Cricetulus griseus: one gene and its partners. Each later gene encodes a partner of the first gene's protein in a complex. Links are inferred from orthologs where the notes say so. Each region holds a gene or a part of one and is shown in the gene's direction. Other genes may lie near its edges. The genes, in order: Med7, Med18, Med31, Med13, Med24, Med13l and Ccnc.

Region 1 (4,387 bases):
TGATTTTGTTGCTTGCCCTCACTCTCACCGGCAACTTCATTCATTTTCTTGTTCCCTCATTCCTTTGCCAGTACTGGAACTGAATTTCTTTGGGATTCTTACATAGATTGAAGACCAGCAGCTTTCCAGAAATCCTCCAGGCCTCCAGTGCCAGATGAGAGCTTCTGAGATGTCCAGCCTCTTGTACTGAGCAACTACAGGGTTCTCAGCCTTCCATGCATGAGACAGCCAGTGTTGGGATATTTGGACTGGATCCTTGGAGACACTCTAGTAAACCATACATGCATACATATTCATTCTATCAGTTTTGTTCCTTTAATGACCCCAATATACTTTCAGTGAGATTATAATTCTATGGGTATATGAAGAAATAAAGAGCCCTTACCTTTTAGCGCTGCATACAGGACTAAAGATGAAATGATGCTGAGCATGTAACTGTTGAAGTTGGCGGTGAGTAGACTGCACTTCACTTTTATGCCTGCAATTCCCCACATATTTAAAGAAAGAAACTGGGAGGATCTTGTTTGTGAAGCAGAGCTGTTTTACCAGAACATTCTTATCTTTTAGATTGCAGTGTGCACCCTTAAGACTCCCAAGAACTTGGACATTTGTTAACAATTCTTGTGGAAAAAAACAAATACTGAAAACAAAACCTTAAACCGAAAGTTTTCTTGCTGGGACTGATAGCGAATTTCTGAACTCTCCTGAGGGCTGGGCTACACAGTGAAATTGCTCCCTCCCTCCGTTAAAAAAAAAAATTACACCAAACTAATTTTTTTCACTTGTCAATTTGTGTAAGAATTGTAATAGACGTCTTTGAATTCCTAAATGAAAATAAAAGTGGAGGGGGAAACTGGATGTTTAGGATTTTATTCTTAATCATGTTCAGAAGTATACCATATATTTGCAAATATTTATATACACTTATGTATATCACGGAGTATAATCTTATATTAAAAACATTTTTGATGGTGAGGTTAACATTGATAGAATATTTTAATATATTGCTTATCCGTATTTTCTGATTTTTAAATAAGGCAAGTGGATTCGTTTTTAATTCCAAGAGTCTCATTTAAAAGTGGAGGTGGCGAGGAATAGAATTATTAGATAGTATTTTCTTTTACTGACAAAATGAACGAAGAAGAGGTACTCTCCAGACTCGACCTAGGTTACTCAGGGGCGCGGCGGGAGGGGGGAGGGGAAGGAGGAGATGCCTGAGACAACCCCAGGAGAAGCGGGAGATGCAGAAGTGCGCACGCGCAATACCTTCAGGGCGGGAGTAAAACCTGTTCTAGGACAGCCTTGGTAGCCAATTAAAGACCAGCGTCAGAGGCTTCTTCCTGAGAAGGCAACCGGAACTTGTGCTTCTGCTGCGCTGAGGAAAAGTCGCTACCGGAAAAGCAAGCGCTGAGGTGAGTCCGCGGCTGCGGTTGGCAACCGCAGCCTGATCCTCTTTCTCCGCCCCCGTGGCTGCTTCTCTCCGGGCGTGGAGCGCCGCCGGGCCGGCGCGGGGCATCCTGGGAAGCCCGGGCTCGCCTTTCCCCCCACGTCGCTCAGCGGAGCTTGCCGGAGGCCGAAGGTGAGCCGAGTGCTCCCTCTCCGGGCTTCCCACGTGCGAGACGAGCCGGACTGGAGGTTGGGAGGCCCGAGTTCTTGTCCCCACTTCGACGACTTTTAAACTATCGTGGCCTTAGCCAAGACTGTCCCCCGTCGCCATTGGTAAAATGAGAAGAGCCACCTGGGAGCGCTGGGGCTGGGGCGGGGGCCCACGAGCGGATCTGGATTCCCCATTTACCAGACTTTCAAGGGGTCCCAGTTTACAGGGCACAAAGTGAAGCAGGTCTCTGAGCTTGCGACGCTTTCCCTGCAAAAGCAAACACTACTAAGTGTGAGTTTTGCTAGTGTTACAAAATTACGACCTCCAGCGGCTTTGAAAAGTTCTGTTTAAACCGGTGATGGGCGGATCCTGTCCTGGGGCAGGCTGTTCCGCGGGAAGCCTCGCTACTTAGTGGAGTTCGGGGATTTGTACTTGGGAGCGGAAACAAACAAAAAACCCAGAGTGAGAAGTCCCGTTGTACCGTTTGCCAGTCTTTTGATCTAATGCTCCACGTTGGGAATTGGCTTCTTGTTTCTAAAATCGAATTGGGAATAGTTGTGTCGTTGTGAAGAAGAAATGACGGTGTAAATAGCCGGTGCCAGTCACTTACTGGAAGCCTTTGGGAAACTGCGGGTTTAGTGTGGGCGTGGGGAAGGGAAGCACAGAACCTCAATTTCAAAAGCCCTCAGTGGGTGAAATTAGGCTGTGGTTGCAGGAGAACATTCGTGTTTTAGGTATATACTGAAGTACTTAGGGGAAAAGGTGTCAGGGTGGGTGGGTGGGTGGGTGAGGTGCCCAAACAGTTGGAAAGCTGAAGACTTTGAAGTGGCTGCCCTCAGATTTAACATATTCCAAGGAACTGGTACTGAACCGGTATGTTACTTGCCCCAGTTGATGTTGGTAGATGGATGGTGCGTCTTGAAACTCAGATCAAGTGTGAAAAAGCACTCAGGAGTCTCCTCACTGGATGTACACTTATCAATGGATAATACACTATATAATTCAAATTGGAATAGGAGAGGTTATTTTGACCATGTGTGTTGCAGTTTTTTTTATTATTTGGAAATATATAAAATGCTAATGTGTTAATAAGACCGTACTCTTTGGTTTTTCGGGACAGGGTTTCTCTGTGTAGCTTTGGAGCCTATCCTGGCACTCGCTCTGGAGACCAGGCTGGCCTTGAACTCACAGAGATCCGCCTGCCTTTGCCTCCCGAGTGCTGGGATTAAAGGCGTCTGCCACCAACGCCCGGCCCTCTCAAGATGGGGCTTCCTTCACAAAGCCTGGATAATAATAGAAGTTTGAAATTTAACAATGCTTTTTTTGTTGTTTTTGTCAAAATGTTTAGAGTCTTTAAGTGTTTGGTTTTGGAAACCAGTACATAATAGAAAGCAAAAGTGATTGTGATATGAGATTGATAAACACCATAGGTAGTTTCACTGTGGGAAAGAGTAGTAAAAAGGCACGTGATATTTGTGTGTATAAGTGTTCTTTTTTCCAGTGTGGGTTCCAACATAGGCCTATCCACCCCCCCAAAAAAAACCCAAAAAACAAAAAAACAAAAACAAAAATCAGACATGACAAATAATATATCATGTGCCATACAAAATCATCCCAGACATGGACCCTTTTCTCTTAGTTTTTAGAATATGTATTTTGTTCTTTGAGAATTTTATACACAATGTGTTTTGATCATGCCCTCTCCTTCCCCTCTAATACCATGCAGACCATCACCATATCTCACTCCCAACTTCATATACTTTAAAAATAGTTTTTAAAGGTATTTTTAGCACAGGCTGACTCAAAAATCAATGTGTAGCCCAAACTGGCCTTGAACTCATAGCTGTCTTGGCTTCTATAGTGTGAACCACCACATCTATGACAGTTGAGGTCCTTTTTCAAAATAACAACAAAAAAAAATGTTTAAAAAGAACAGTAAGTAAAGTTATCTGCCAAACCTTTAGTGGACTTGACTGGCTGCTTCCCACTTCCTATGCTTCCATTTGTCAGCTTACATAGAACACATGAGTCCTTAACCCTAGCGTCCCTCTTTCCTCACCAAGCAGAACAGGTGTCCTTACTTCATAGTCACATGAAGTCTGGCAGACAAAAGTGTCCTTTAGCAGGTGACAGGGACTTTAAGGGATTCAAATAATTGTAAGATTTCCAAGTGACACTGCTTCATGTTCTCAGAATTTCCTTCATAGAGTCTGCATACCTCGACTTGGGTGTATATTTAGATGCTAGAGATTGTTTCATGGCTCTCATCACAGTTATCTTCATTGCACGAAGCCATAGCTTTGCTTTATTTTTCTTTTCCTTTGCCAGGGTCACCTGTTCCTTTAGGGTGAAATTAGCACACCTTGTGTCTTGACTGGCCAACAAGTTCTCAATTTTCAAGGCATACTTACCAGCAGGAAGCTTAAAGATAATATGGTCTGAATTCACAGTGTACTTCTGAACATTGAAGTTGATGTTGTCCAGGCTGCCCTGGTCATTGGTTGGTAATTTTTTTCCTCAGCAGTGAAGCTTCATGATACAGTGACAGATGTCATAAGAGCCTCTTCCTCCCACCACACCCCTTTATTTTCAGGATGCTTTGTATGGGTTTATCTTTGAGAAATTAACAAGTGCTAGTGTCTTTTGTGCTCAGAAAGGTTTTTTGTTTGTTTTTATTTTTTTCAATGCCATTACTGTAATTATGGGTACCTGCCTTCTGCTGGAATGGTGTGCCTTTCTAGATGTCTGCTGCACAGACCCTCTTCCCCCAGATGGGCAGGGAGGGGGTGG
Region 2 (2,823 bases), on another chromosome or scaffold:
CTCTTGGCTTTTGGTTCTGGTGATCAAGCCCAAGGCCTTGCATTCCAAGCACATGCTCTACCATTGATTGACAGCCAGCTGCAATTATTTATTTCCAGCTAATGAAATTCTACTTATGGAACAAATTCAAATTTTCCTTTTCATATAATTGTACTTAAGAACAAGAAGACAGGCATGGTTTTGTATGCCTTTAATCCCATCACTCCAGAGGCAGACACAGGTGGATCCCCAAATTCAAGGCTAGCCTGGTCTACAGAGCAAGTTCCAGGATAGCCTGGACTATACAGAGAAATCTTGTCTCAAAAAATAAAGAAAACTGGCTATGGGCTCACAAGACAGCTTAATTTGTAAGGTTATGTCTTAGTTTCTGTTCTGTTTCTTGGCACCATGACAAGGCAACATTTACAAAAGAAAGCATTTATTATTGCAGGCTTGCTTACAGTTTCAGAGGTTTAGGATCATTATGGTGAGGAGCATGGAAGCTAGCAGGCAGGTAGGTGCTGGAGCAATAGCCCTGAGCTACAGCCTGATCCACTGGTAGAGAGAAAGACACTGGGGCTGGCGTGGGCTTTTGAAAACTCAACCCACTCCTGGTGTTGTAACTCCTTCCAATAAGCACATGCCTTCTAATTTTTCCGTAAACATTCTGTTGCCTGGGGACTAGACCTTCAAATGTAAGAGCCTATGGGAGCATTCTTACTCCAACCACCACGGGGTACTTGCTTTGAAGCCTGATAGCCTGAGATCAATCTATGAGAACCACATAGCAGAGGTAGAGAACCAGTAGAATCCCATGGATGGTTCACATGAAACAATGCATAGAATTATTATTTATTGGTGTGTGTTTATCTTCTGCTAGTTTCATGACTTTGCATGAAATCCAGGACTCATTGTCTTTTTACCTCTTCAGGGAGTGTTTTAGACCACAGTTTGGAAAGTCTCATCCATCGCCTTCGTGGTTTGTGTGACAACATGGAGCCTGAGACTTTCCTTGATCACGAGATGGTATTCCTTCTTAAGGGCCAGCAGGCCAGTCCATTTGTTCTAAGGGCCCGACGCTCCATGGACAGGGCAGGGGCACCGTGGCACCTGCGCTACCTGGGACAGCCAGAAATGGGAGACAAGAACCGTCACGCCTTGGTTCGCAACTGTGTGGACATTGCCACATCTGAGAACCTCACAGACTTCTTGATGGAAATGGGCTTCCGCATGGACCATGAGTTTGTAGCCAAAGGACACTTGTTCCGGAAGGGCATCATGAAGATTGTGGTGTACAAGATTTTCCGAATCCTGGTCCCAGGGAACACAGACAGCACAGAGGCCCTGTCTCTCTCCTATCTTGTGGAATTGAGTGTTGTTGCACCAGCTGGGCAGGACATGGTCTCTGATGACATGAGGAATTTTGCGGAGCAGCTCAAACCTCTGGTTCACCTGGAAAAAATAGACCCCAAAAGGCTTATGTGATTAAGAAGGTCTGTCCATCTTTGAGGTCTGTCCTCACCTGATAGGCAGAAAGATCTCCCAAGTGCCCTGGTTCACTGCTGCCAGTCAGGCCGACTCCCTTCCGGAAAACTTAAGTGGTGAGAATATGTTTCCTTTGGACCATTTCCTTTATATAGTAATTTCATCTTTTGTGTTTGTTTGTTTCTTGGTGGCAGGGTCTTACCCTGGCTCACCTGGAACTCACTCCGTAACTAGCCAGTAACGCAGAGCCCGTCTGCCTAATTACCCACATTAAGGCTCTCCTTACGAAGCCGGCTGTTTGATCTCCTTGACAGTCTTCTCCCATTAAAAGCCCAGGATAACATGGAGATTTGACCAAGTCCTCCCTCTGCTCAAAGAGAGGGAACTGGAATAAATTAGCTTTTCAGAGGAAAATGTCAAAAAACAACTCTGATGATTGTTTTGCCTTTTCATTGTTTTTATATATATATTATTTATTTATTTTTTGTTTTCATGTTTTTGTTTATCTTACTTTGTCATTTGTATATAAGATGTGTAACAGTGTTGTGAGCTGGCATTGTATGGTAATAAAGACGGGAAAGAAATTTCGATTCTGATCCTTATTCTTACTATTATTATTACTTCTTAACTATTTACTATTGTTATATTACCCTTTTACTATTATTGTTGTTGTGTATGTGTGTGGGCACACCTGTGGAGGGCCAGAGTCCTCTCCAGGACCACATATAGAAGGAGAGAACCGACTGCTGCAAGTTGTCACCCTCTATCTCCATGTGAAGTCATATAGTTTTTGTTCTTTTAATTTTTTGTTTTTCTTCTGAGGGAAACTTTCAGTCCTTTTTCTTTTCTTTATTTTTTTATTTTATTTTATTTTTTGGTTTTTGGAGACAGAGTTTCTCTGTGTAGCATTGGCTGTCTGGAACTCGCTCTATAGACCAGGCTGGCCTCGAGCTCACAAAGATGCCCTGCCTCTGCCTCCTGGGTGCTGGGACCAAAGGCGGGCGCCACCACTTCCAGGCTTTTCTACTTTTTTAGAAGTCTTACTCGGGATCCTACAAACAACCCTAGTGAGGCTTGGCTCATCTACTTTATATTGTAACTTTATATTACATTTATTTATTTAGGACTTAACGTGTGCACACGTGGAGTCAGAGGACAGCTGCCAGCAGCTGGTCTGCACTTTGATCATGTGGGGCCTGAGTGTGGAACTCAGGGTGTCAGACTTGGCGCCGGCAGCACCTTTATCCACTTCTCCTTTCTGGACAAGTTCTCTCGCTGAGCCTGGAGCTCAGGCTCATCTAGACTGACCAGCCACCCACCAGCACTGGCATTACAGAAGCCAGACACCTCCCCTTGGTG
Region 3 (4,495 bases), about 25 Mb from region 1:
GGTATCTCTCTCTCTCTCTCTCTCATTACTATACTCTCATATTCTAACTGGTCTTTCTGTTCCATAAACATCTTCAGTTTGTTCCCACTAACTTTTTATGCTGGCTTTTCCTCCTATCTAGAACGCACTCCCCTCCAGTTCCTGGTATGGCTCACTGTTCACCCACACAATTAGCAAGGCTCTTCCTGACGGTATTCTCTAGAGAAACTTCCCTGTTCTCTACCAGATACCTTTTCCTTCACATGAGCACAAGAGACCTTAGCTTTCCCCTTTGTTTCTGCCTCTTCACTACAGGGAGATCTTAGTCTTCTCCACTGTTATCGCTGACATGCTCTGACTAGTACCTAGCACACAGTAGGTACTCAGTAACCATCCTCTGTCAGCCTCACCCTTCAGGTCAGGTGCCAATGGCTTTCTTTTCACTTTCCCTTCTTAGCATATTTTTTATTAATTGACTTGCCTTTTTTTCCCCAACACCCCCTGACCTATTTAAAAAATAATAAAAGCCTGTATGTGGAGTACTGTGTATAAAAACTTAACATAGGAAAGCTTATTATGAAATACAAATAAAGGTCAATTAATAATCCATGAAAGATGATTCTTTGTTCTATTGGTTTCAAGCACTATATAATCAAGCCAGTGGTCATGAATTCATGACAAGTTTGGTCCTTCTTCGCAAATTTCAAGTGGTCAAACCATTCTAGAGGGACCTCAGGCTACGAAACTTACCTGGTGCAGAGACTCAAAGAGCCTCTTTGTCCATCATCAGCCGAGTATATACGCACCGCAAGTCTGAAGCCCTTCTGTGCTGGCTTCGAGTTAAATAGTACACTGGGTCAACAGCAGGGTGGTCTAAGGTGATGCAATCTCAATACATGTTGGCAGCACCCAGAAACCACAGCCTGTTTCTTACATTGATTTACAGGCTGTTTCCATGAAACCAAAGATGCTTGGCTCTCCTGGAAGCTGGCTGGCTGGCAAATGGAAACACTTCAGTGCTGGCTAAGGGCCATGGCCACTTCATCGGGTCATTTTGGCACTCTGGCGAGCTGTTTGCTTGTCCCTCCTGGCTGGGCTCTCTACACGGTGCACAGTCGTCTCCACCCGCAGGGATGACGACGCCCTGACGTGGCTGGAGGACGTCTCCGTGCACTGCGAGGAGGTTTCCACGTGCTGGGAGGATACCTCGAGGAATCTAGGGAGTCGCTTCGCGGAGGAGGTCAGGGAGGGTCCCTCTCGGTGGCGCTGAGAGGTCTCCACCTGACGAGAAGACGTTCGAACCTGCCGGGAGGACGTCTCCACGCGGTGGGATGACGTTTCCTCGCGGTGGGACGACGTCTCCACGCGGATAGTCGACGTTTCCTTTTGGCGGGTGCTTTCCACTCGCGGGGCGAAGGATTTACTCCTAAGGGGCGAGGCCATCCTGCTGGCACACCCAGGTCAGAAGGGACACAGAGGCCCAAGACTCATGCTCTGTGTCACGTCACACAAGGGACGGTGACGTCAGGGTGATGAGCTACGTCAGTGTAGGCTGCTGCGGGCCACATAGGATCTGCGAGCAACGAGCTCTTCCAGCACGCGCCGCTAGATAATTGCTCAGGCTGCCGGCCCAGACCACACAGATAGGCGGGGCCTCTCTCCTCAGAAGGAGGCTGTCTCCGCCCTCGCGTCCCACATGCCCCGCGACCGGAAATAAGAGCCGTGGCTTCCGGATCCTCCCTCACCATTTGAAGCCGCGGTTGGGTCGGGCTGGTTGTGTTCGCGTCTCTCTCCTCTCTGGTTATGGCCGCGGCCGTCGCTATGGAGACAGGTTCGTGGTGTCGTGCTCCTGGAGTCTTCACCGAGGGAACGGGTCCTCCCCCCTTCTCTCCGGTTTCCCCGCGCCGTCTTTCGGGCTTAACCCGGCATCCTTAAGGAGTTGGGATCGGTGGGGGAGAAGGCGGTGTTGTCTCTGATTGTGGCCTGTGTGAACGACATCTTTGCTCCTGGGCTGCTCACACCTCCACTCCCTGGCTCGCGGGCCGGGGTGGGACTGAGGGAGAGGACCGAGCCCTTCAATTGTCTGCTCTATGGAGCTTTTCCCGTGAACTTGCTTGAAATGTTTGTAACGTGTATGGTTCTGATACGGATTACCGTCTCCTCCCCGCTGTTTAATCATTTTGCATCTTGCTTCCTGCTTTTATTTAGCACTTTGTTTTTGTTTAACTTAATCACTGTTAGTAGTTGTGGTTGTAACGCTAACATTGGGGGTGGCACAGCTATTACAGACCAACCAGTGATCTCTGTTACCATCCTCCCATAGTGGCCTTAAATAGCCGTTTCGTTTATTTTTCTCAACTAACTTTAGGTAATTTATTATCTTTGTTTTGTTTTGAAGACAGGGTCTCACTATGTACTACTGCCTAGCCTGGAACTGGCTATGTATACCAGGCTGGCCTGGAATTCACAGAGATCCTCCTGCCTCCCCCTTACAAGAACTGGGATTAAAGGCATGCACCACTCGGCTTGTTTTGTTTTAAACCAGGCTCCACTCTGAGATTTCTAAGGAAATCTCTCCTGCAGTTTGGTATTTGTTTCATAAATTCATTCCTATGGGGGTGGGCGGTGCATGCCGAGGTCAGAGGACAACTTGCAGGAGTCTACTGTTCCTGCAACCCTGCGGGTTCCAGGGATGGAGCTCAGGTCATCAGACTTTTCTGTGAGCACCTTTACATGCTGAGCAGTCTCACTGGCAGTTTGTTTTTGTTTCTACAAATCATTGGTATCGTGACTTTTATTTTGGGTGTCTTTTACTTTTTTCTCCTAGATGATGCTGGAAATCGACTTCGGTTTCAGTTGGAGTTGGAATTTGTGCAATGTTTAGCCAACCCAAATTACCTTAATTGTAAGTCGAGTACATCATTAAGTTGAGTAGCTAGCTGTTAATGATTTCTGACAGAAGAGATGGAATTCATAATAGTATTTACTTCGGTATGTTTGAATGGGATTTTACTTTCGATGGTCTGTAGTTATTAACTGAGCAAACAAGGACTTGTGTTTTTTAATTCCTTGTGTTTTGATGGTAGGAATGTTAAAAGAGCTACTTTATTGTAGCGATTACAAGTCAGTAGTCCAGCAGTTGGTTGACATACAGATTGTTTCTTTATGCCTTTCAGTTCTTGCCCAAAGAGGTTACTTCAAAGACAAAGCTTTTGTAAATTATCTTAAGTACTTGCTTTACTGGAAAGAACCAGAATATGCCAAGTATCTAAAGTAAGTTTAATTTTTATAATCTTAAATCTGTGTATACTTTATTATAAATACGAAGTGCTTATATTTAGCAGTTTTCTCGGTGTCAGAATGGCAAACTATGTTTTGAATTTTTCTGCTTTTAGTTCATGTCATGTCATTGTCATTTCTAATTTGAATTGTTACAGTAATCTCACTTATTTCTGCTGTCATTCTTACCTCACTCCCTTCAAACCAAACAAAGCCAAACAGTTGTCTGTCAAAACCAATTTACTGTCTTAGTAGTATAAATCAGAACATGCCACTTCTATTCATGTAGGATAAAATCCAGTAACTAGTTTTAGAGTAAGACTCTGATTTGATTTGGTCTGTCTGAACTTGTCATTTAGCATTCCCCTTGTCTCTCTGGGTTTCTAATGCCTTCCAACCTATAAACTACTAAAATGTAGTGGTATAGCCATAAGCTGAAAATGAACATATAAGAAGTGGTGTTTTCTGGGAGTCTTAGACTTACTGTCTTCTTTATAGTTTCCTATGTGTCAAGTACTGTGCTAAATGTATCGTGCACATTAACTCACTGTAAACAAAAGAAAGACAAACATGAACACTGTCAAGTTGTTTGATAGACAATTGTGAGAAACATCACAACTACACAGCTATCCCTTTGAATGGTAAAACAAAACCTTGAACTCACCCCTCTGCTTTGTCTTAATTAAAAAAGAAAAACAAGCTGGTACACACCTTTAATCCCAGCATTTGAGAGGTAGAGGTGGAGGTGGATAGATCTCTGAGTTCAAGGCCAGCCTGGTGTACAAAGCTACTTCCAGGACAGCTAGGGCTACACAGGTAAACCCTGTCTTGAACTCCCCCTCCCCTAAAAGGGTGGACAACAACAACAACAACAAACCCAGAAATTTTAGCCTGATGCCCCTTTAATCCCTGCTCTCAGGAAGATCCGGCAGATCCCGGTGAGTTTTAGGCCAGCTTAGTTATGTAGCAAGTTTCAGGCCAGTCAAGGCTACATAGACCCTATCTTAAAAATTAGAGGGAAACATTTCAAGCCTTTTCTTTATATCCTAGTCACTTTTCTGAATTGATCCTGGACTGCCTGTAGAACAGATTGCACCGGATTTGCTCTTTATGATGCAATTATTGATTCCTTTAGGAATCTGAAGGAGAGACTTTTAAGTTATTAGGCTGTTATAACAGTGCTAGCAGATTTACAGACTGGGTATTAAAAGCCTTAGTCACCTTCAATTCAAGTTCA
Region 4 (3,817 bases), about 39 Mb from region 1:
GCTTAAAATGAGTTTAATAACAATGTCTGCGGATATGGTGTTTGTGAGAATTAGTTAATACAGAAATGTACAGAGCTTTGGAGAGTACCTAGAATGTAGTGCTGTAATTATTTCCTAGTATCCATTTAAGTTGCTTTCTTTAAAGAGAGCAATCATTTTTCTATAAGAAGTATTTTTATTTTTTGTCGTTGTTCATGTCTTTTATTCATTTTAAAATAAGGTAATTTGTCATTTTCTTTGTTAAGAAGATTTAACTTGATTTACTGTTTTAACCAAGTTTTAAGAAATAAAATATAGTATAGTTGACATGTATACAATGTTACATAGTATATCTTATGATTTTTCTCGTAAGTCTTTATGGTAAACAAATTATTCATCATATTAATTATAAATAAGTTTACTTTTAAATTAATTAATGACAAGTGTGATGACTTGTGCCTATAATCCCAGCATTTAACAGGCCAAGGGAAGGAGGCTTGCTGCAAGTTCGATCTGACTGTTTATAGAACAAGATTGCCCTAAACAAAATAGCAGGAAATGTTTTAAAATGAGCACCTAAGGATATTTTTAATTCTGAAAATATGTCATTGCTAGCTTTATATGTTTCTGTCTTTAATATTTTCCTAATAATCTATTTATTAGCTTTGGAAATAAAGATGACATGAACTGGCTTTTTCCTAATTTCCTTCTTTATTAGGAACTGACGAATCTCCAGAACCACTGCCAATTCCCACGTTTTTGTTGGGTTATGATTACGATTTTCTGGTGCTTTCTCCATTTGCTCTCCCTTACTGGGAGAAACTTATGCTGGAACCATATGGATCTCAAAGAGATATAGCCTATGTTGTACTCTGTCCAGAGAATGAAGCGTTGTTAAATGGAGCCAAAAGCTTTTTTAGAGATCTTACTGCAATATATGAGGTAGGTATTTTATAATTTATGTTTAAATTATACTGGGGAATTCTACTGGCTGATGAAAAATGCTGATTTTTGTCAGTTGTCTTACTAGGAAACTATACTCTTCCACATTTTTGCTAGTCTCTGTTAGGTATGTGTGCCTTGGGTCACAGTGGAAAACATAGTATAGGAGGGACCCATCGAGGGCATATGTGTTATATTTAAAGTAACCCTTGGTATGTTGGGTGTGGTGGTGCATATCTGTAACTCTTGTACTGAGGTAGTTGAAACCGGAAAGTCTCCAGGCCAGTCTGGCCTTCACAGTGAATACCATATCTTGGAAAAACCGTATTACTAGGGATGGTGGTATATGCTTATAATTCCAGCATTCGGGAGATGAAGGCAGGAAGATCAGAAATTCTTGGTCATCCTTAACTACATAGAAAGTTTGAGACCAGCTTGGGCTACCTGAGCTGTGTGTGTGTGGGTTGGGGGCAGGGGGCAGGGGAGGGGAGTGCAAAGCAGCAGCTTGAAATTCCTAAAGGAAGATGACCAGTGTCTGCATACTTACCCATGGTGTTTTGACTCAGTTGTTAATTATAAGTAATAAAGCTTGTTTTAAATAGATTGAGTTTTTAATTTAATATCTGTACCCTAATAGTATAATAGATTCCCTGAGTCTACCTTTTATATATGTATTTGTAGTCCTGTCGATTGGGCCAACACAGACCTATTTCTCGACTGTTGACGGATGGGATCATGAAAGTGGGAGCTACTGCATCAAAGAAGCTTTCAGAAAAGTTTGTAACAGAATGGTTTTCTCAGGCAGCTGATGGTAACAATGAAGCATTTTCTAAGCTCAAGCTTTATGCACAAGTCTGCAGATATGATTTAGGTAATAAATTTGTATTCATTCTACAAGAGTAGTGTGAGCATTGTGGCTTGGTTCATCATCTATTTTTGTAAATAATATCCTAGTGTCATGTAGCCATCTCCATTTTTCAAACACGCTGTCTCTGCCTGCTTTTGTCCTGTAAAGTCAGAACTGAGTAGATGTGGCAAAGGCTGTGGTTTCAAAGTTAAATATGTACTGTCTGACTGTCCACATAGAAATTCCGTTTGCTTCGTATGTGGGCATCCTCTCAAGTAGACATTATGGATTCCAAAATATTTTCTGCTACTTCTGTGGGATCTGATGTTTTACGCACTTCAAGATCTACGATTTGTTAATAATTCAGATGCATGTAATTTCTAAGTCAACTATGCAACTCCAGAAAAAGTCTTATTGTGGCTAAGAGAATGACTGTTATTTAAAACCTTTTTGTACTTTTAAATACCAGTGAACTTTTTTACATTTATCCAAAGAGATGTAATACCAAATTACTGAACTTAGACATTTTTGTAAATTGAGCTTCATGGTACTATTCCTCCATTTTATATTTTAGTTAGCTGTCAGTTTGGACAGTATTTCTTCACTTTGTGAAGAAATAATACTTAATAACACTTGCAGTGATTTGATGAAAAATTGTTACATACTGCTGTCACGCTTGTTGATGTGTTCTGATTTTTTTATTAACATTTACTGGAGTATGTTGGGTATATGCACCTGAATCAGTGGAAGTCAGAAAGCTACTTGCAGCGTTGGTTCTCTTTCTACCATGTGCTTCCTGGGGATTAACTTAATCACTGAGCCATCTTGTCAGCCTTTGTTTACATCTAATTTTGCCCAGGAAATAAAATTTTCTTACATTTTCATATTGATTATCTTAAATTTGAATGAAAATGCAGGTTTACTTTTATAGTTCCATTTTAAACTTGTTTCTTTAGTTTCTGGGAGAAAATAGAAAGCTATTACATGCTACACTGTTAGTAAAACAGTTAAGGGAAGATAATTGCCATGAAAGTATCAACTAAATTGTTATTTCTTTAGTAGAATAAAAATAAGTCAGTGAAACCAAGAATTAAATACCCGTTTTTTGTTCTTTAGGTCCATATCTTGCTTCTCAGCCGTTGGACAGCTCTCTGCTCTCCCAGCCAAATTTAGTTGCCCCTACAAATCAGTCTTTGCTTACTGCACCTCAGATGACAAATACTGGAAACGCTAATACTCCATCTGCCACCTTAGCATCTGCGGCAAGTAGCACTATGACAATGACTTCAGGTGTTGCCATATCTACTTCAGTTGCCACAGCTAATTCAACTTTGACCACAACTTCATCTTCATCATCTTCCAATATGAGTAGTGGAGTGTCATCAAATAAACTGCCTTCATTTCCACCCTTTGGCAGTATGAACACTAGTGGTTCAGGATCCATGTCTGCACAAACAAGTACAGTTCAGAGTGGCCAGCTGGGAGGACAGCAGTCATCATCTCTGCAGGCAGCAGGAATGTCAGGCGAGTCAGCCTCGCTTCCCACTCAGCCACATCCTGATGTGTCAGAAAGGTATTTTTAAGATACTGATGCTTGGGGTTGAGAGATAGTTGAGCAGTAAGTAGCATGGGTTTAGCCTGCTTGAAGCCTGTGGACAGTGTATGAAAAGATAAAAGCAAATTTAAGTTTGTGGAAATTCAGAATCTATGGTGTCTCTTTGTATCTTTTGTTTGTTTGTTTTGGTTTTTCCAGACAGGGTTTCTCTGTGTAGCTTTGGAGCCTATCCTGGCACTTGCTCTGGAGATCAGGTTGGTCTTGAACTCAAAGAGATCCTCCTGCCTCTGCCTCCTGAGTGCTGGTACTAAAGGTGTGTGCCACCAATGCCTGCCCCCCCTTTTTTTTAATCTTAAGACAGTCATAAATGAATATAAAGTGCTTCTTGTTCTTATTGTGGAATTTAGTTCAATCATGTTAAGTATTTTATGTATAAAATTATAATAAAGATTGTTTTAAAAGTCTTTATCATAGAATCACAGGGTTGGTGTTAA
Region 5 (4,002 bases), about 51 Mb from region 1:
TGTGCGGACGTGCTTCAGCAGACAGCAACACAGATCAAGTTTCCATCCACGGGCGTGGACACAATGCCCTACTGGAACCTGCTTCCTCCCAAGCGCCCCATCAAGGAGGTACTGACAGACATCTTTGCCAAGGTGCTGGAGAGGGGCTGGGTGGACAGCCGCTCCATCCATATCCTAGACACCCTGCTGCGCATGGGCGGCGTCTACTGGTTCTGCAACAACCTGATTAAGGTACTGGGGCCAGGGTGGATGTGGACAGCTATGTAGATTGGGGCCATGGGTGTCCTCAGTTGGGGTAGGCCAGGCTTCTTTGGGAGGTTGCTGGAAGCTGGGTGGTCTCCGGGGGAGACAGAGGTAGGGACCTCACCTCAGAGAAGCACCTTCGGTTGGAGTTGGATAGCACCTTTGACTGTAGAGTGGCTGGAGCATGAGAGCCCTAGGGCCCAGGTGTGCAGTGCCTTAGCCGCTGCTTGCCCACTGCCCAGGAGCTGCTGAAGGAGACTCGCAAGGAACACACACTGAGGGCAGTACAGCTACTCTACTCCATCTTCTGCCTGGACTTGCCGCAGGTGACCCTGGTCTTGCTGGGCCACATCCTGCCCGGTCTGCTTACTGACTCCTCCAAGTGGCACAGCCTCATGGACCCTCCTGGCACTGCACTAGCCAAGTAGGATTCTCTCCAGAGCCTTCCTGGTGTCTGCTCCCCTTGAGTCCCAAGAATCTACCACCCAGATTCAGGCACCCCAGCCCTGGTGCCAGCTCAGGAAGCCAGGCTGTGGTTGGGGGGCCCGCTGAGTGGTGGTGGGTGGGAGGGGCTTGTTCAGCATGAGCACACATAGCCTCTTTTGGGACTCTCTTAACTATTCTTTTTTCTTGGAACCCTTCACCAGACTAGCTGTGTGGTGCGCCCTGAGTTCTTATTCCTCTCAAAAGGGACAGGCAGCTTCCCGCCACAAGAAGAGACACAGGGAAGACATTGAGGTAGGTCTGCCACCGCCTTGGTTGTGTGTTTATTCATGAGATGCTTCCTGATCACTTAGAGCAGAGAGCTGCCTTCCCAGGGTGGGGGTGGGGTTGAGGTCCCCTGTGTGTGGGCCTTTTTGATTGGTCAGGGTCTGGGGGAGTGGCTTGAGTGGCCCCTGAGTATCCTTGATGAGGGTCCTTTCTGCCCACTAGGGCAGAGATTGGAGTGTGGGAAGGGCCACCACTGGGGATGCTGGCCAGGGACTAGGAAACTCACTCCTCTCCACTCAGATCTCACCTCCAGCCCTCTCCAGTCCTTGGAGACTTGGGAGGTTGGGTGTGTGACAGTGACTCCTGCCCCCAGGACTATATCAGCCTCTTCCCCGTGGAAGACATGCAGCCTTCGAAGCTGATGCGACTCCTGAGCACCAATGAGGATGATGCCAACATTCTGTCGAGTCCCAGTGAGCACTTGGGAGGTCACGGGCTTGCTAGGACCATTTGTCCCTAAGGACCTGCCTTGGCTCCCAGCTGATGGCTGTCAGCCAGTGTGGTGTGGCAGCAGCTTCCACGTCTGTCCCTAGTGGATGCTCTGCTGCCTGCTGGTGGGGACCTGAAGTTCTCCTCCAGGGGCCCTCCCAGTCCCACAGTTATCCCTCTCTTGTCACCAGTTGAAAGATGACAAGACACCCAGTGAGTTCACTACCTTGGTACAGCTTGTACCATTCACTCACTCACTCTGCCATCCTTCTAACCCAGAGACATGCCCTGTGGCTGAGAACAGGCCCTGTCAGGTTGCGACCTGGGGCTGCACTCCTGCCTTCCTATCCAGAGGGCAGCCCATGTCATCCTTTCCTTCTGCCAAAAGTTTTTTTGTGTGGCATCCAAGTTTCCTGTTTCCAGAGATCTCTTCTGAGCCTAGAAGTTTTCTCTGTAGCCTTATAAGGGACCAGGCCACAGCCACAGCCTTGTGTGAAAGAAAGCTGCTGGCAGACCACCTCTGACCTTAGCCAGGCTCTAAGCAAACAGATTGTACGTCTGTAAAATGGGCTTTGAGTGGGACAGGTGGCTTCAGCCACACAGAGTGCCAGGGTTAGCCTCGGTTGGTGCGCAGAGGCTTGTTCCCACTCATCTACTCTCCAGATTCAGGCTCTTCTGTGCCCCGTACGTGCCAGACTCCCCTGATGGCAGGGGACAGGTAAGGCTCCCCTAGAGTCAGAGCTTACGCAGCACCCTCTCTGCCACTCCACAGCTGACCGTTCCATGAACAGCTCCCTCTCGGCTTCCCAACTCCACACAGTCAACATGAGGGACCCTCTGAACAGAGTCCTGGGTGAGTCCTCCCAGCCGTGCCTACCTGCAGACTGAGCTACACGGGCCCCTCCTCGTCAGAGGCAGGGCCACGCCTGCCAGAGGGATCCTCTGGGCCCTGACATCCTGTTCCGCTTCCATGTGCTGTCCTGTTCCCTTACCACCGCTAACAGCCTCCCTTTACTCCATCCCCCATCCCCCGCCCCACCTTCCCTCCCTGGCCTTCCTATGTGAGCTCTCACTGCCTCTTCCTTTCCCTCCTCGGTCCCCTTCTTTCTCGTCTGACTTGTTCTAGAGCTCTGCTGTCTTGTTCCCTTCTGCACAGCCAACCTGTTCCTGCTCATTTCCTCCATCCTGGGCTCCCGCACCGCCGGCCCCCACACCCAGTTTGTGCAGTGGTTCATGGAGGAGTGTGTCGACTGCCTGGAGCAGGACAGCAGGGGCAGCATTCTGCAGTTCATGCCCTTTGCCACTGTGTCGGAACTAGTAAAGGTGTCTGCCATGTCCAGCCCCAAGGTAGTGCTGGCCATCACAGACCTCACCCTGCCCCTCGGTCGGCAAGTGGCTGCCAAAGCCATCGCTGCACTCTGAGGAGCTTGGAGTAGCCTGGACGGGGTCCCAGCCCCAGCATCCCAGCAGGGGGAGTGAGGATGAGCCCAGGCTGCCCCATCCAGTGGTGCAAGGATGCTTCTCCAGTCTGAGGCCCTCACCCACTCCTGCCCTCTACTTACTATGCCTGTTCCTTCTGTGGTTTTCTGTCCTTTCCACCAGTACCCAAAGACTGCGAGTGGTCCCGATGGTTGCCCCAATTCTTGCAGTAGCTGAACTCCAAGGAGGGACTTTATAGGGCCACAGTGTATATATAAGTTTATTTTTATAACTCAGGAGGGGGAGTCCCTCTTGCTTTGTTTGTAAATAAAGATCCTTGTAGCTATTGAATGCTGTTGGTAGCTTTGCTGGATGACTGGGGACAGTATCTTTTCCCTGCAAGTCTCTTGTGCTGTGGCCAGGGAAGGGCACAGTCCTGTGGTGGGGGAGGAGGTGTGGAAGGCCAGGCTCGTTTTTCACAGGCCCCCACTGAAAGTGGAAAGGTCTGTGAAAGCCCTGTACTGTGCTGTGCAGGGCAGGATGGCTTGCTCTTTAGTCACACTCCACCCTCTGGCCCAGAGTTCACTGTGTGTTCCAGAAGATTGTTGGAGGGATGAGGATGAGGACTCTGTTCTCCACACTCTACAGGTCCAGGGACATGGATCTGTGAGGCTGTGGGAAGGGAAATTGTCAAGGGGGCTTTGAGAAGCCAGTGGTATGGAGGGCTGTGGAGGACGGTGCCTAGGTTGGCCTGGTTGGGCAGCTCTGACCCACAGGGAGCCTGCAGCTGACTTTCAACTGCAAGTGCTCTTCATGGCCACATCCCACCCTTGCAGACATCTTCAGCTCAGGAGCGGAGCCAAGCAGGGAAGTGCTCCCAAGGATGATAGCAAGGAGATAGAGCTCATTAAGGGAAAGCCAGCCAAGGCAGAACTTGAGTTCTGATCCAGGTCTCTGCCTATAAAAGCCGCGGTGTCATTCTCCTAGGTGGACAGCTTTGGGAAGGCTGTTGACAGTGGTAAAGGGACCAGTCCTGTGCACATGCTCAGTGTGCCCTGGCTGCCTCTCATCTGTCCCCTCCCCTGCCCTTTGCCCCCTTTCTCCCACTGACTCATGATCCATCTTCCCCAAGAAGCTGTG
Region 6 (3,817 bases), on another chromosome or scaffold:
AAGCCCCTTCTTGTGGGGACAGTTGTCAGGCAGTGAAATTGAGTGGAAGTCTGGACTTAATATTGTCTTATTTTAAAATGTTAGCCGCTAATTCAGTGATAACCCTTAGGAGCCTGTAAAACAAATTTGTGGTTCAGGACTCAGCTGTATGCCCCAGCCCTAACTCAGTGACAGACCCCAGCAGTTTTTGTAGTCAGTGCCAGAATGAGGAACTGGGTGGAAATGTGACAGAAAGACTCTGGACCTGCTGGAAGCCAGAGCCATTGTGCTCTATGACAGTCCTACCTTCTGAAAAGTCTGTGTGTGTACTTAAAGGACTCCTGTACCTGGATCTTCCACTCTTTAAAATGAGATTATTCTGCTGTGACTCTACCCAGAACTTTGGAAAAGCTCTAGCAGCTAATGCCTGTGGACTGCAGAGGGGAGAGAACTATGAAGCTGCCCTGTGAGTGTCTGGCTTGGGTTGCTGCCAACCTCAAATGAGGCCTGGAGCACCAGCACCAGACACCCTGGGCATGCTTGGGCCCTGGTGGCCATTCATGACATCAGGAGCCACTCAGCACTTTAAATTTGCCTCTACTCACAGGTTCCCAGGACAGGCTCTGGTAGTTTTCACTCTGGGTCATCATTCCCACCCACTGCATTTGTCTTCTTTGGCCAAAGACTAGACTGGCAGTGCTGCAAGGGAGGTGCTTTTTATCCACACAGTCTAATGGTATGACTGCGGGCCAGCCTTGGCCACTTAACATGTGGCTACTGGGTTATTTGTTCTGCTTCATTCAGATCTAGCACTGGGATCTAGGAGTTGCATTACTGAGCAGCATGGCTCTACACTGTCAGTTCCTGCTGTGCTCTCCAGTGTCCACCATGCTGGGCTCATTTTTTACAGTCAGTACACTTGTTGACATTTGCTTCAGATTTGCTGTATGTCATGGCAATTTTAATTTTTCTCTGCTGACTGTCCCACTTTTCACATAGGGTTGGTTTTCAGTCCATCTTAATGTACAGGGAAAAATGACGCTGCTAAGTAAGATGAAGTATTTGCTATCTAGATAACAATGGAATTATTCAGATTTTCAGTTAGCAGGTCATGGTTCCTTTTTTGATCCAAACCTGCAGAATTATTTTAGAGTCTTGTTGGCAGGAAAACTTTAAAGGAGCCTGATGAGTGCGCAGATGGTTATCTATTGCACTGTTCAATCTCCAAGTCAGCTTTTGTCTGTACCCAAGATAGCCCTGTATGTCAGGGTTTACATACTGCCAGGTTAGATACCTGGGCCAGTGGTATAAGTTCTGAAAGATTACAGGGAAATGACTGTGTAAGGGAATGAATGTGTAGCTCACCAAGGAGCATCAGTGAAAGCACTGGGATCATGTTTCCAAAAGAGTCGTTAGGACTGAAAAACTTGCTGTCTCTGATGGCTTGCAAGTGTAGATTGGGCTTGTATACTGTCTCTGGGTCTGTGGGAATGGTTGAGGATGTGTTCTATAGTGGAAGAACATCCAAATGCTACAGACATGGTCTTGTTTTCTGCCCAGCTGCTCTCCCCAAGCCACGGCTTATGAGATAAAACAGCCCTGTCTACCATGGGAATGAGAGTGATTGTAAGTAATACGTAACATTGAAAGATGAAGGAGACTGAAAGAGAACCCAGGAAATCTCTGTTTCTGGAGACCAGAGTCGGTGCATCTTTCCCAGTAACTGCTGAATAACACCAAACCCTGTGCAGAACAGAGAGATGGGCACAGTAGCCACACAGTACTGGGATCATGCAAGTCTGGCTCGTGCTACCTTCTTCCACTTAGAAAAGCACCACATTTGAATGTGATTTGGTTACAGCTAATTCAGTATCATTGTATAATGATAGCACCATAGAAAAGTGCACAGGCAGACTCTTGGTTTCAAAAAATGGCAAAGGCGAAGTTGCAGAGTCTATGCAAACACCACTGTGCAGCATTCCAGCCAATCTAGCCTGCACTCCTGTGAGCTGTTAGTAGTTACAGCACTTCACACAACTTCTCCATGCCCACTTTCACATTTTCTCTTAGAAGACTGGAAGTCCCTCAGCAGATCAGGATGAGGATTGTCTAGTGTGGATTATGTGGAAAGAAAGTACTCTCTCTCTCTCTCTCTCTCTCTCTCTCTCTCTCTCTCTCTCTCTCTCTCTCTCTCTCTCTCTCTCTCTCTCTCTCTCTCTGTGTGTGTGTGTGTGTTCCTTTCTCATGCTCTTGCTTCTGCCACTCCCCTCCCCTCCCCTCTCTCCCTCCTTTTTCTGTTGTTTTTGAAGAGAAAATTGCACATCTAGATGCTCAGTGCAGGGCATGGCTTCTGTGGCTGCTCCCCTTCCTCACCACTACCTTGTGTCTGTTGCAGTAATGTGCCTAGTGTTGGGAGCCTCGCAGATCCAGACTATCTGAACACACCACAGATGAACACACCTGTAACGCTGAACAGCACTGCCCCTGCCAGCAACAGTGGGGCCGGAGTCCTCCCATCTCCAGCTACCCCTCGATTCTCTGTCCCCACACCACGAACTCCTAGGACTCCAAGAACTCCCAGAGGTGGGGGCACTGCTAGTGGCCAAGGGTCTGTGAAATATGACAGCACCGACCAGGGGTCACCAGCCTCTACCCCCTCTACTACGAGACCCCTTAACTCTGTGGAGCCTGCCACCATGCAGCCAATTCCTGAGGCCCACAGTCTCTATGTCACCCTGATTCTGTCAGATTCCGTGATGAATGTCTTCAAGGACAGGAACTTTGACAGCTGTTGCATCTGCGCCTGCAACATGAACATCAAAGGGGCAGATGTTGGGCTGTACATCCCCGATTCCTCCAAGGAGGACCAGTACCGATGCACCTGTGGGTTTAGTGCGATCATGAACCGTAAACTTGGTTACAATTCAGGGCTCTTCCTTGAAGATGAATTGGATATTTTTGGGAAGAATTCTGATATTGGCCAAGCTGCAGAGAGGCGCTTAATGATGTGTCAGTCCACCTTTCTTCCTCAGATGGAGGGAGCCCGGAAATCCCCAGAACCCCCCATAAGCCTTCTCCTCCTCCTCCAAAATCAACACACACAGCCCTTTGCTTCTCTCAGCTTTCTGGATTACATCTCCTCAAACAGTCGACATGCACTCCCCTGCGTGAGCTGGACTTATGACCGGGTGCAAGCAGATAACAATGATTACTGGACAGAGTGCTTCAATGCCTTGGAGCAGGGGAGGCAGTATGTGGATAACCCCACAGGCGGGAAAGTGGATGAGGCTCTGGTGAGAAGTGCCACCGTACACTGTTGGCCTCACAGCAATGGTAGGTATTCCAGAATGCAAATTTGCATCAGAAGTTATCTTGGTGCAAATGATAACTTAAAAGCTTTCTTTACTACATCACAAAAATGCAAGATTTAAACTTATAGGTCTGGAAGTGAGGGGTATGCTGATTTCTTTTACATTGGAGGGGTGGGGATGTCTTCTGCTGGAGGTTTTGGAGAGAAGCGATTACCTCCTGAAACTTATCTGTTACATTAAATCACAAACAGGCAGTGCATGGTGGCAGCTTGTGGCTGCTGAGTATCAACATGGCCCCCTATATGAAACTGATGGTCAGCGTACCTGCCTCCTGATACCCAATCATCCTTCTGGATGCATTGCCATGGTGCTTCTTCCTTGAAACTGGCCACACATATCCTGAGTACTTTCTCCTTCTGGTTTCTCAGTGTGATGCATCTCTTGGGACAGTGACCACATCTGACTTTATTGCAGTTACTGGGGCACATCCCAGGGCATTGTGCTATTTAAAAGTGCCAATTGCCCCA
Region 7 (3,817 bases), on another chromosome or scaffold:
TTTCCATAATACAGTAAAACTTAATGAATTGTTCTGAAGGGAGATAAATTTTAAATTTATCTAAATGATATGTGATGGCAAAATCATAGAACTATAGTAGCATTATCACCTATTTTTCCTTCTGATGCCTGTAAAATAATTTGTATATCTTACTTGGGCTCTGGAAATTTTTTAAAATTTTATTATAGCTATAATCAGGATTACAAGCAAATAAGCCAGGAAGTTAAACCACTGCAAACTGTGTGCAATTTGTGTGTGCGTGCACACACACAGAACTAAAGACAGATTATGTCTTTGGCAGAATTCTGCTCCTCCGTTGGGACTATGGCTTTATAGTCTAGTGAGAGGTGTCAGTGTGTTGCAGGTGTGACACTTTGAGTCTCTGAGGGCAAGAGTGGATGTTGACTGGCTGCCTACTGATTTACCAAGGTATATTCCAGAGAGAGCATTTCCTTCACTATCACAGTAGCTCAGGTCATATGTGAGCAAAAGAATAAGAAGGAAGAAGCAAGTATGAGATAGAGAAATTAATTTTAAATACAATTAGTTGGAAATGGTATTGTTTTATGTTGTAATAAATCTGCTCTTATACATATATGTTTTTAAACTGTTTCTAGGATTGTTGCTTGATAGTGTATCATCCTTATAGACCTTTGCTCCAGTATGTGCAGGACATGGGCCAAGAAGACGTGTTGCTTCCCCTTGCATGGTAACTAGAACAGAAGTTACTCATATGAAACCTGTTGCTAGACAGGAGGGTTGACAACTAAATATGTGGTTTAGTATTTTAAAGTGCCCCAAGATATTTTATATTCAGCAAATATTTGCTTGTTAAATTTTAATTACTAGGCTGTGTGGTGGTGGCGCACACCTTTAATCCCAGCACTCGGGAGGCAGAGGCAGGAAGATCTCTATGAGTTAGAGACCAACCTGGTCTACAAGAGCTAGTTCCAGGACAGCCTCCAAAGCCACCAAGAAACCCTGTCTCGAAAAAACAAAAAGTAAAAAACAAAAAAATTTTAATAACTATAGTGGTATAAGGTTATAAAGTCATATATATCTTGAATTACCTGTTTGATAAGTATATCTGTTAATGTTTCATATGAAAAATAAGACCTCACATGAAAATTAACAATGAATTTATTCTTACAAAGACAGAGTTTCTCTGTAGCTTTGGAGGCTGGCCTGGAACTCACTGTGGAGACCAGACTGGCCTCGAACTCCCAGAGATCCACCAGCCTCTGCCTCCCGAGTGCTGGGATTAAAGGCGTGCACCACCACCACCCAGAATTTATTCTTAAAATAGTACTTTTTGATTGGATTCAATACAAATCCATTTCAAATAATGGCTTCTTAATTTTATTTTTTATTTTTCAAAAATATGAAAAATTTATTTTATATAATTTGTTGTGAGGTACCAACATCAAAAATATGCTCACTGATACATGAATCTTTGTTGTCACATTCAGGCATCCATTGTTTGGCCTCTGTGTTTTCATCTTTATGACTCTTCTCGGTAGTAGAACAGGGATGTAAATGCACAAAGATGGAAATCTGGCTCTCTCTGGGAGAAGTTACATGGTCAATGAAGTAGTTGTGCTGTTAGTAATGATAAGATTTACATTTCCACAGGAGAATAGTGAATGATACCTACAGGACGGATCTTTGTCTGCTGTATCCTCCTTTCATGATAGCTTTAGGTATGTAAATTTGGAGTGCCTTTATTGGTTAAACTGTTTTTGCCTATTTAGGTCATCCTAAAATACATTTCGCCTGATTGTAATTTATGTTTTTATCAAGTGGTAGACTAATCCTTGAATGTGAGCTTTCAGTAATAAGTACTATTAACAGATTAGCATTGCTGATCCTTAGTCCCTTTTTTTGATAATTTTCCCCCTATACATTGCTAATCCTCAGTCCCTTTTTTGATAGTTTTCCCCCCTTAATTCATTTAAAACATTTTAATCAGTACCTAAACATCATTTTTGTTTGCTTAAAGGGGAAAATTTGGGTGTAAATCTGCTGATATTAGTTGTCTTAAGTAACTGGTTCTGACTTCCATTTCCGGATCCAGTAAAACCTCAAGAGCTTAAGAAGCACCTGTGCTGCTGTCACTAGAAGTTAGCTGGCATCCCATGGGGTGGAGAAGGCACGCAGGGATGGGCTAGAGTTAAGCAGACCAAATTGAGACATTGCTTTCTGTACAGTTGTAGAAACAATTATGTAATTTTTCTGAGCTTATAAAGTTGTGGGATGGATAATAATTTCATAAAGAATTGTTTCAAGAGTTAAGTGAAACAACCTATAGAGCACCAAATGTCTGTTACATCCTAGGCACTTCATAGTTCCTGCTCCTTTTTTCTTCTCCTGTTGATTTTTCTGGCTCCTTTCTTAGTAGTAAGAGTAGTACAGGTCTGGGCTGGAGAGATGGCTCAGAGGTTAAGAGCACCAACTGCTCTTCCAACCATCCCTTATAAGGTGCCCTCTTCTGATGTGCAGATATACATGGAAGCAGAATGTTGTATACTCTTAAATAAATAAAACCTTTAAAAAAAAAAAAAACAAAAAACGAGTAGTACAGGTCACACATGGGCTGAACTGAATACTTCTGCAGCACTGGTGACTCTTGTGAAGCACTGGACTTGGTGGTATTTTGAATTAGCAAAAATTATTTTATCTATTTATTTATTTTGATTTTTTGAGACAGGGTTTCTCTGTGTAACAGCCCTGGCTGTCCTGGAATTCGATTTTTTTTTTTTTTTAAGATTTATTTATTTATCATATATATAGTGCAGGCCAGAAGAGGGCACCAGATCCCATTACAGATGGTTGTGAGCCACCATGTGGTTGCTGGGAATTAAACTCAGGACCTCTGGTAAGAACAGTCAGTGCTCTTAACCCCTGAGCCATCTCTCCAGCCCAGAATTCGATTTGTAGACCAGGCTGACCTTGAACTCACAGAGATCCGCCTGCCTCTGCTGGGATTAAAGGCATTTGCAACTACCACCCAGCAAGATTTATTTATTTTATGGATAGGAGTGCTTTATCTGCATGTTACTGTGTGCCAGAAGAGGGCATCAGATCCCACTATAGATGGTTGTGAGCCACCATGTCATTGCTGGGAACTGAACTCAGGACCCTGGAAGAGCAGCCAGTGCTCTTAACCTCTGAGCCACCTCTCCAGCCTACAAGACCATCTTAAAAGCTTGTCTAACCAAACGTGACTGTATTGCAAAGGTCAAAAATGCTTAAGTGAAATTTAGCTTTTTAAAATTTAGGTTATATCCCTTAAGGATGGGTTCCATTAATTGAGAGCTAAAGATATAGGTCTAGGGAGGGAAAGTCTGGGATAGACATCCTGGGTTATTTGGGTGAGGTCTGCCTCTATAGATAGCAAAAGGTCAACAGGTTGTTAATAATATCCACCCCTACTTTCTGGATGGAAAGCAGGTATTTTATTTCCTCCTTTGAGGAGACAACCCCTGCATGATTAACATTGCTGATTTCCCCCGAAATCTGCCTTGAGCTACCCACACTGTGACCAGTATACAGTGAAGAACCACACTACAGCTAGAGATTTTTTTTTCTGTATCATTAAGTTGGTAAACGATCTATTAAATGTTGATACACAAAATGGTGTGTGTGTTTATGTGTATGTGTGTAATCTCAACATGAAGCTATATTTTAAAAAAATAGTACTGGAAAATAAGATAAAATCTTTATGAAAATCTTTAGTTCTAAGACTGTTTGCTGTTAAATTTGAACAATTGTTTCTAATTTTCTTTTTAGCTTGTCTACATGTAGCCTGTGTTGTACA

Evidence for each region.
Region 2: Med7 (region 1) and Med18 share a complex: the UniProt entries of both Homo sapiens proteins name them as parts of the mediator complex. The link is inferred for Cricetulus griseus from reciprocal best matches to the Homo sapiens genes MED7 and MED18.
Region 3: the proteins of Med7 (region 1) and Med31 are in contact, whole or in part, in a cryo-EM structure (PDB 7EMF), measured with the Homo sapiens proteins. The link is inferred for Cricetulus griseus from reciprocal best matches to the Homo sapiens genes MED7 and MED31. Residues at the interface, in NP_001094286.1 of Homo sapiens: Met15, Gln16, Tyr17, Ile18, Lys19, Tyr21, Thr22, Asn25, Ile26, Lys33, Pro34, Pro35, Pro36, Pro37, Ile38, Lys39, Asp40, Tyr42, Met43, Met44, Phe45, Gly46, Gln48, Gln50, Asp52; in NP_057144.1 of Homo sapiens: Asn14, Arg15, Leu16, Arg17, Phe18, Gln19, Leu20, Glu21, Leu22, Glu23, Phe24, Gln26, Tyr33, Phe36, Leu37, Tyr42, Asp45, Ala47, Phe48, Asn50, Tyr51, Tyr54, Tyr57, Glu62, Tyr63, Lys65, Tyr66, Lys68, Tyr69.
Region 4: Med7 (region 1) and Med13 share a complex: the UniProt entries of both Homo sapiens proteins name them as parts of the mediator complex. The link is inferred for Cricetulus griseus from reciprocal best matches to the Homo sapiens genes MED7 and MED13.
Region 5: Med7 (region 1) and Med24 share a complex: the UniProt entries of both Homo sapiens proteins name them as parts of the mediator complex. The link is inferred for Cricetulus griseus from reciprocal best matches to the Homo sapiens genes MED7 and MED24.
Region 6: Med7 (region 1) and Med13l share a complex: the UniProt entries of both Homo sapiens proteins name them as parts of the mediator complex. The link is inferred for Cricetulus griseus from reciprocal best matches to the Homo sapiens genes MED7 and MED13L.
Region 7: Med7 (region 1) and Ccnc share a complex: the UniProt entries of both Homo sapiens proteins name them as parts of the mediator complex. The link is inferred for Cricetulus griseus from reciprocal best matches to the Homo sapiens genes MED7 and CCNC.

The regions. Positions count from the first base shown.
Region 1 is NC_048600.1:60,988,586-60,992,972, forward strand, and holds the start of Med7 (mediator of RNA polymerase II transcription subunit 7), read left to right. Parts: upstream 1-1,276; 5' UTR 1,277-1,412; intron 1,413-1,442; exon of another isoform or gene 1,443-1,719; intron 1,720-3,925; exon of another isoform or gene 3,926-4,097; intron 4,098-4,387. UniProt on the Homo sapiens protein: Component of the Mediator complex, a coactivator involved in the regulated transcription of nearly all RNA polymerase II-dependent genes.
Region 2 is NC_048595.1:20,804,446-20,807,268, forward strand, and holds the end of Med18 (mediator of RNA polymerase II transcription subunit 18), read left to right. Parts: intron 1-910; coding exon 911-1,464; 3' UTR 1,465-2,054; downstream 2,055-2,823. UniProt on the Homo sapiens protein: Component of the Mediator complex, a coactivator involved in the regulated transcription of nearly all RNA polymerase II-dependent genes.
Region 3 is NC_048600.1:86,054,478-86,058,972, reverse strand, and holds the start of Med31 (mediator of RNA polymerase II transcription subunit 31), read left to right. Parts: upstream 1-1,640; 5' UTR 1,641-1,782; coding exon 1,783-1,810; intron 1,811-2,806; coding exon 2,807-2,884; intron 2,885-3,155; coding exon 3,156-3,252; intron 3,253-4,495. Other genes in the region: uncharacterized protein C17orf100 homolog, read right to left, coding at 1,021-1,422. UniProt on the Homo sapiens protein: Component of the Mediator complex, a coactivator involved in the regulated transcription of nearly all RNA polymerase II-dependent genes.
Region 4 is NC_048600.1:99,532,863-99,536,679, reverse strand, and holds part of Med13 (mediator of RNA polymerase II transcription subunit 13), read left to right. Parts: intron 1-697; coding exon 698-921; intron 922-1,602; coding exon 1,603-1,792; intron 1,793-2,884; coding exon 2,885-3,341; intron 3,342-3,817. UniProt on the Homo sapiens protein: Component of the Mediator complex, a coactivator involved in the regulated transcription of nearly all RNA polymerase II-dependent genes.
Region 5 is NC_048600.1:111,787,889-111,791,890, reverse strand, and holds the end of Med24 (mediator of RNA polymerase II transcription subunit 24), read left to right. Parts: coding exon 1-231; intron 232-485; coding exon 486-667; intron 668-890; coding exon 891-981; intron 982-1,327; coding exon 1,328-1,427; intron 1,428-2,215; coding exon 2,216-2,296; intron 2,297-2,599; coding exon 2,600-2,865; 3' UTR 2,866-3,213; downstream 3,214-4,002. UniProt on the Homo sapiens protein: Component of the Mediator complex, a coactivator involved in the regulated transcription of nearly all RNA polymerase II-dependent genes.
Region 6 is NC_048597.1:98,619,849-98,623,665, forward strand, and holds part of Med13l (mediator of RNA polymerase II transcription subunit 13-like), read left to right. Parts: intron 1-2,374; coding exon 2,375-3,312; intron 3,313-3,817. UniProt on the Homo sapiens protein: Component of the Mediator complex, a coactivator involved in the regulated transcription of nearly all RNA polymerase II-dependent genes.
Region 7 is NC_048595.1:119,710,251-119,714,067, reverse strand, and holds part of Ccnc (cyclin-C), read left to right. Parts: intron 1-617; coding exon 618-709; intron 710-1,632; coding exon 1,633-1,700; intron 1,701-3,789; coding exon 3,790-3,817. UniProt on the Homo sapiens protein: Component of the Mediator complex, a coactivator involved in regulated gene transcription of nearly all RNA polymerase II-dependent genes.